Arabidopsis thaliana: one gene and its partner. The protein of the gene in region 2 purifies or fractionates together with the protein of the main gene of each other region. This does not show direct contact. Each region holds a gene or a part of one and is shown on either strand. Other genes may lie near its edges.

Region 1 (3,714 bases), on a different chromosome or scaffold from region 2:
CTGAAACTCTATAACTAAGTAACCGAAGATCATAGAAGAATAAGTTTCCAAATTGAGAGCAAATTCAAAGAAAACAAAAGTTTCTCGCGTTTTCCCGGAAAATGGAGATTTAGAATTGCGACTCCATAACTAAGACTCATAACTAACCTCTGCTTCTCGGCGCGATGATTTGTGTGCAAACTAATCTGATTTTTGAATTTTTTCAACTCTGAAGCAATAAATTTGACTTTTAAAGGCGTTTGGGCCCATTACGGAAACAACAAGTAATTAACAAGAGAACAGAGAACCGCATAGAGAGAAAATGTTAAGATCAAGGAAGATTCACCAAAGGCCAACAAATATATATACCAAAAAGCCCAAGCTCCAATTGGGCCTGGTCCCCATGGATTTGATTGTTTCGAATAACAACAACACCTCAAGCATGATACTGCAAATTTGGTGCTATCATGAGGTTTTTACATGTTTTGAGACTATTATGCTATAATTCAAATGATATGTCGAAAAGTATATAACCTAAAATCGTAGTTAGTGCTAAGATCAAGGAGTAATTTGGTTATGATTCATTTAATGAATGTGATTGTTATTATAAATGATGGAGAAGGTACCAACTCTCAAGTCTGAAAATAAAAATCCAAATTGAATCCAGAGTTGAGAACGTATTTGGTTTTTCAAACTGAATTAAATCCAAAACACACTCAAACTCGAAAAGTCTCAACATAAATTTAACGACACAAAATAAACTCTCCTAAGGAAATTATAAAATGATGCAAAGGATTCGTCACCAAAGGAACTCCAATCTGCAGAAGAACTTTGCTTCATCTTCAAAGGTCTTGTACACTCAAACCTGAAAAAGTGCAACATAGTCCACACCTCAGAACACGCGTACAACAGATATGAGAATGAAGATACTTTTCAAAAACATAGTAACATACTAAAGCCAAAGCAAAGCTGGGTTTAGCAATCAAATGCCAAACTCAGAAAAATTTACAACGGAAATTGTGTGATGAAGAAGCTTACTTTAACGTACATAAATACTTAGCAAAATTCAAACAATGAAACTCAAGGCACAGCTATATTTAAAGTCCATATAACATAATGAATCCAATAATGTTGAATGTTGCAATACACACGCAATGTAATTAAGCAAAGACAGGTTGTTTCGAACCCATATGCCAAACTCAAATTTCATCAAGGTTTTAAAATGATCTAAAGTGTGAGAATTTATGCAGTGTAGTAGAGAACAATGTAAATTGAGCAGAGTTAAGAAGAATAAAAAACCTGGAGGAAGAGACTGCTTAAGCTTGTCGGCTTTCTCTTGGTCAAAGACGCAGAGCGTGTAGAGGTACCTCGAGCATCTGACCTTAAACTTGACAATATCCTTGCTTCTCTTGATCTTCACAGATCGTGCATCTTTCCTTCTAGCTGTCAGAAGGAAGTCCTTGATCTCGTGGATTTGCTTAGGCTGCAAACATTAATCAAATTAATCAATCAAAATTCAATACAAGATTCAATAATCCCAACCAATCAAAAGTTAATCACATGATAAGCAGACACGAGCTCAGCACATCAAACACATTAAGCAAACTCTGACCTAGGTTTTTGGTTAATTCACTAAAACCTACACGTTTCACTATATCCTAAACAAAGTAAGAAGCAATAATCAAAGCTGAAAATGATACAAAAATCTACATTTTTTGAGAAAACTCTTAAGATACAGGAACAGCTCTACTACACTATGAATGATTGCAAACGAGCTATGAAAACCAAATCATAAGCATCCATGACGGCGATATGAAACGAAATCGAAAGACCGAGAAATATTGTACCATTCTCGAATCTGTTGGTTGAAACTAGCCGCCGTCCACAGAGAGAGTCGAGCGAATTCGCCGTCGCGAGGATATAAAGAGATCTCTTAAAAACTTTGTATCAAGAAGCCCTAATTCGTAAACCTGAAATTCCATATTTACCCTCTGGACGATTTATCAAACAATGGGCTTTAAGGCCCAATCATATATCGCTTTAATGTCCCTTCACAGTTTTGCCCAATTTACAGTTTGTCTTAACACTTTGGTCCTCATATTTTCTTTTCATACCCTAATCATAACAAGATCAACCACAAAATCCTTCTTAGAAAAAAAAAAAATTTGATTTTTTTTGTCACAAGAAAAGAAGCGTTACAAATTTACACTTGTTGAAAGAAAAAACGATTCAACTACAAGAGAAAGTTCACAAAGTCCTAAAGACACAGAGATGTTTACAGGTGCGGTCTTAATGCTTCCAGGCCATGGAGTGACCATCCTCCATGTAAGGCTCAAGAAATCCAATGAACTGCCAATAAAAATAAACAGCAACAAAACAATTGATGATCAGACACGTCTGAAAGATACATACTTCAAGTCTCAAAATATACATACTTTGGTTCCATCTCGAGACCAACGTGCTCCATAGCCTTGAGCTACTCTTATCTCGAACACTTCACCATGTGGTGGAACGATATGTATGTTCATCCAACAACAATTGCCAATGAACCGATTGATTATGTCCATTGCACGCTCATTTTTATCTGAATCTGAGAAAAGGAAGAGGAAGACTCAATTATGGAAATGCATCAGTGTCCTGCAAAAATTTGTTACTTACCAGTTCCCTGAAGAACACCCCAAAATCCATCGCTACTTCGATCAACATGCTTGGCTAATGCTCTAGCTCCATGGCTCAATCTACAACCTTTTATCTCAACAATAGGAAAAAAGAAAGATTCTAAATTTGATCTCACACAACACAGCTTAACCATTCCCCAAAAGATTCACTACGATGTCTCTCGAACTATATCTTAGTTTTTGTGGTACCTTTGGCTTATATGGAAGCATGAATGAAGAGAGTAGCATCGATCTAGGAGGAGGCAGAGCATGAAAAATGGATCCAGTTGTGTGAGATAGACCGAGAAGGTTTTGCACGCCAGTGTAACTCAAGCCCTGCCATTTAAATGATGTTTTTGTAAGAAACATTGAATAATAAGAATCATAAATCACAAGGAGAAGGCTGAGAAAAACTTGAACTCACAGACAGTATGTGAGCCAAAGCAACACAAGGCTGAGCAACTGATTTACTAAGATGGATTGCCACAACACCATTGAAATTCTCTTGATCCGTATCATATAACTTCCTAAACATTTGCATACCTAAAAAAATTTGAAATCTTTGAAACAGAAGTTAATGGCTAAGGATCAGACAAAGAAAAAAGCTTACCTTCTTCCACTGTTTTAGTGCCAGGAAACACTTTCTCTGAACTCTCGGCTTTCAACAGCTCGTAAAAGGATGCATATTGGTGAAGTTCCTATATATCAACATTTAAGAGAATCAATCACAAGAAATCGTTTGCAGGAACACAAAAGCATGATGTCGGCAAATATATCTCACCAGAACTTCAAACATTAGACATTTATTTATCATAACCATTGAACCTCCTCTCCGAATTCTGAGGAAACCAAACAACATTTGTGAACACAAGAGACACAGAAGTAATCCAGCTCAATAACTTTTCACTTCTCCTACCTATCATACTCTTCTTCAAAACACCTTGCTTCAACTGTTTTGATGCCATCTAATATATCCATTTAAATTAAGCAACCCAAAAATCTGATCAAGAACTCTTACCACTTGATATTGACATTGCCAAGCTAAAAAGAGGAAGTTTTAACCTTTCATGAGGGAGAA
Region 2 (3,760 bases):
ACAAAAGCAACAAGATTTATGCAAATGAGAGAAGACCAATTTGTCAATCTCAGATGCAAACAACATCAAATTTCAGTTAAGGAAAGGGTGATTTTCTCAAAATTGAAGCTTAATTCAATCGAATCGGAAACATCGAATTCGTAAATTGAAGAAAACGAAGGAGTACCTGGCAAACGGCAGTGACGTTATCGGAACGGAGCTTGGTATTGCCCCACGGAGAGAGATGGAGATCGACGATTGATATGAGATCGTCTTCGAAGAGCTTCGCGAGGTGGTTAACAATGAAGGAAGAGCAGTAGGGACAGAGAGACTCGTAGTACAGGCCCACCGAGACTTTAGGCGACGAAGATGGAAGAGATACCCCAGAATAATCAGATGATGATGCAAAGGGGAAAAGAAAAACGTAGCAGACTAGGACTGGAAGAAGTTTGCTCGGCATCGACGCCATGGATGCAAATGCAAGGTTTTTGTGTCGTCGCCTTCTTCTTCTTCAAAGAACATTCAATAAATATGAAAGAGCCGAGAGAAATTAGATAATTGCTATTCCCAATGGTACCAATTTATTACAGACACGTGTAGCTTCGAAAGCCACGTGTCTCACTTTCATTCTGTAACCGTCAATAGTTCAACACAAAGTAAGCTCAGGCTTTGCAAAATTTGGGTAAACTTGTGAACTCGACTTATCAAAAAGGCTCATTTTAACCAAAATTGTTAACTCCAAAAAAGGTTCAGGATAAAGAGTCAAATAATAAACAAGGTCCATAAACAAAGGCTTGCAGATAATAAACCACTTGATGACGAGTACACACTGCTTTAAATGTTACTCGGATACATAAACACTCGAACTCGAGATCCCTGCAAAAAAACAATCAACCAACTGTATTAGAAGAGCTAGGAAAGAGATAACAACAATTTCAAACATATATAACTGAAATGATTTGGATTACCATTGATTTAGGAGGCAAGTTTGATGTGAATTTGGCTCGAACAACGCCACTGTTACCGTGAGGCCTTGTGACTTTGCCCCAAATGCATCGGTAGTGACTACCGTTCTTCTTGGTCTTGGCTTTGTAGATGTAAGCCATCCTTTTACCTTTGTACCATGACACTTCCTCAGTGGTGTTAACTCCCTCGACTTGGACTAGTGACGTGTTGGGATACTGGTTTGACTTCGACCTGTACATATTTACACACAAAACGTGTTTAAGGACACCATTCTGACAAGATCCAAAACAGAAACAACACTAAATGGTAGATTGTTTTGCTTAAGTGTATACGCTAAAACTTTATTGCCAATTGGTAAACGTAGAGCTCGTGACTATAACAAGCAAAATCAAGATAGTCTCCTTATTTTGTATACCCTATTCCCAAATTCAACAATCTAAGATCGGACGAAGACAAGTGAGTCTACTTTCTCAGGAACTAACTTTTGAATCCTATAAGCAACTAAACTGAGGTCATAAAAAAAGTGTATTAACCAGTATTATCAGCCAAGATTCACTGTTTATGGGAGCTAGAACAAAAACGACTAAAGTGGAAAACAACAACAACAAATCATGTATCAATGCGCACCTTTTGTAGCCAAGTATGGTTCCCCTGACATAGAGTCTGCATCACATAAAAACAAAATTGAGTGAGACAAAAGCTTAATTAAGACTAAAGTTGAGATAATTTGGTACACAGAGATTGAAACACATCCAAAATCCAGCTGAGAAAAGCTAAAAGCGAGATCCATAGAAAGTGTAAAAACGCCAATGATGCCAGCTAATTTCAGGAGCAATGTGAAGCTTTAGCAGATACAGAATTAGAGAACATAGAAGATGAATAACCAACCTGACACGTTCTCCTTGGCGTCCTTTCACCATTTTTGTCGAATCGTCCGGTGGAAGAAATTAGCAGTTGCCTTCAGAAAACGGAGACGAAAACTCAAAAAAACCTAATAAGCGAATCCTTATCAGTCGCGGAGGTAATTAGATGGCAAGTAAACGTCATCGATTTGATATTAATGGGCCTATAAATCTACATATGGGCCGAATGTCAACTCGTCAGGCTATCGGCCCCTTGCTTATGTTGTCCTTAAATGAGTTCTTATAATGCGCCGTCAAAATTAACAATTAAGATGCGCCATAACATAAAATTCAAATCAAAGGGCACATTGAAAATTCGAAACACCGCTCAAATTTCTCTCTGGAAAAAATGTTCAGATTCGATGATCGCTGATCAGACTTATCTCTTTATCAATCGGGTCCAAGACAGAAGGTTCTTCAATCCATCCGAAGCATCTGATTCTCAATTTCTCTTGTGTGTGTGGCTAGAACAGGGTTTCTTCTCACTGATTGTGCAGGTTCGATGAAGAATCTCTTCGGATTCTCGAGTTGTCTCTGGTTGCAATGAATGTGAAATCGTTTTTGGAAGTTAGATCTCGATTGAGAGATTTCATGAGATCTGAATCGGTTGTTATATTCGGTGAGCTCACCGGAGAATCCATGGTCGCAAAACTCTCCGTACTTGAATTCTTCGCTCGTGCTTTTGCTCTTCTCGGTGATATGGAGGTTCGTATACTGTCCTTGTCGATTTTGAATAAATTCGAAATTATCTTTCAGCTTCTTGTTCGATTATGAGTGAAGATTTGCAGATGGATTTGTGCACTTTACTCAACTTTTCTGTAATGTATGTATATATGGTTGTTATATGTTGAGTAGAGTTGTTTGGCTATGAGGTATGAGGCATTGAATTTGCGGCAGCTCAAGTCTCCTAGCTGTTTGTGGTTAGGGGTTTCACATTCAGAATGGACCAAATTTGCAGTCCAATCTATGGAAAATGGATTCCCTTCCATTGCAGGAAAGGTAAATTACTCTTCCTTCTGTAGTATATGATCTCGTTGCTTTTGGGAATGGTTGGAGAAATTCACATAAGAGGAATGGTTAGAGATTCTGTACATGTTTCTTGGAAAGTGAGTTTACTTTGTAATTGTGTTAACAAGTTCATGCTTGTATGATCGGAATTGTTGCTTTACCAATTTATTCAATTTTTTGGATACATAGCAATTTGTTATTTGTTACATTTTTCTGTTCCCACATGGAAGTACAGATCAGATAGGTTCTTTGCTTCTTTTGATTTTGACTTGTTCTTACTATGAGGTATGACATTTTGATGAGTTTTTACGTAGGCGTCTGAAAATGCCCTGTTGAGCCTTAAGAAGGATAGTCTTATTGAACCAAAATCAGAAGATAATTCTGACATTTTGGATGCTGCTGAGAAAGTAAGGAGACTAAGGGATTCAGCTGCCTCGTTAACATCTTCACATTCAGGTATTTTCATTTATATCGTGTCTTCTTTAAAGTTTGCTGTTTGTAACAGACTTCTGACTACATTTTGATTGCTTTCTTCGTCTCTATCTAAAGTATTGGTCTTAAATTACTCGTTTTATTCCCACCGTTCAATGCCTTCAATGTAGTGTGACTGTTATGTATGGGAGAATCCATTGAGTTTGATAGAATCTTGGAAATCTACTGGTTGGAAAGATTGATGATTTATAAACTGACTCTACCAACTATTGTTTGGATCCATCATAAAGGATATAAAACTGACTCGACCAATTTTAACAGAGTGTCTGTTAGAATGTATCTGATTGGTCTGAGTAATTTTCGAATCACAAACAGTTCAGGCACAAGGTGCAGGGTACTTGAGAAGCAAGGAACACAGAATACAATCCAGACAGACTCTACCCACTAAAAATCCAGACTGCACAGGTAGCAAT

Evidence for each region. The genes of interacting proteins can lie anywhere in the genome.
Region 1: the proteins of AT1G07070 (region 2) and AT2G43460 fractionate together in Arabidopsis thaliana (co-fractionation; one large-scale study listed by BioGRID). This does not show direct contact.

The regions. Positions count from the first base shown.
Region 1 is NC_003071.7:18,045,464-18,049,177, forward strand, and holds AT2G43460 (Ribosomal L38e protein family), read right to left. Parts: upstream 1,939-3,714; 5' UTR 1,830-1,938; coding exon 1,827-1,829; intron 1,463-1,826; coding exon 1,279-1,462; intron 845-1,278; coding exon 822-844; 3' UTR 502-821; downstream 1-501. Other genes in the region: AT2G43465 (RNA-binding ASCH domain protein), read right to left, coding at 2,269-2,328, 2,415-2,569, 2,638-2,731, 2,847-2,972, 3,061-3,179, 3,247-3,334, 3,418-3,475, 3,553-3,601 and 1 more.
Region 2 is NC_003070.9:2,166,757-2,170,516, reverse strand, and holds AT1G07070 (Ribosomal protein L35Ae family protein), read right to left. Parts: upstream 1,957-3,760; 5' UTR 1,866-1,956; coding exon 1,834-1,865; intron 1,609-1,833; coding exon 1,573-1,608; intron 1,177-1,572; coding exon 948-1,176; intron 856-947; coding exon 814-855; 3' UTR 560-813; downstream 1-559. Other genes in the region: AT1G07080 (Thioredoxin superfamily protein), read right to left, coding at 167-448; DFO (uncharacterized protein), read left to right, coding at 2,120-2,259, 2,345-2,552, 2,703-2,846, 3,170-3,311, 3,663-3,760.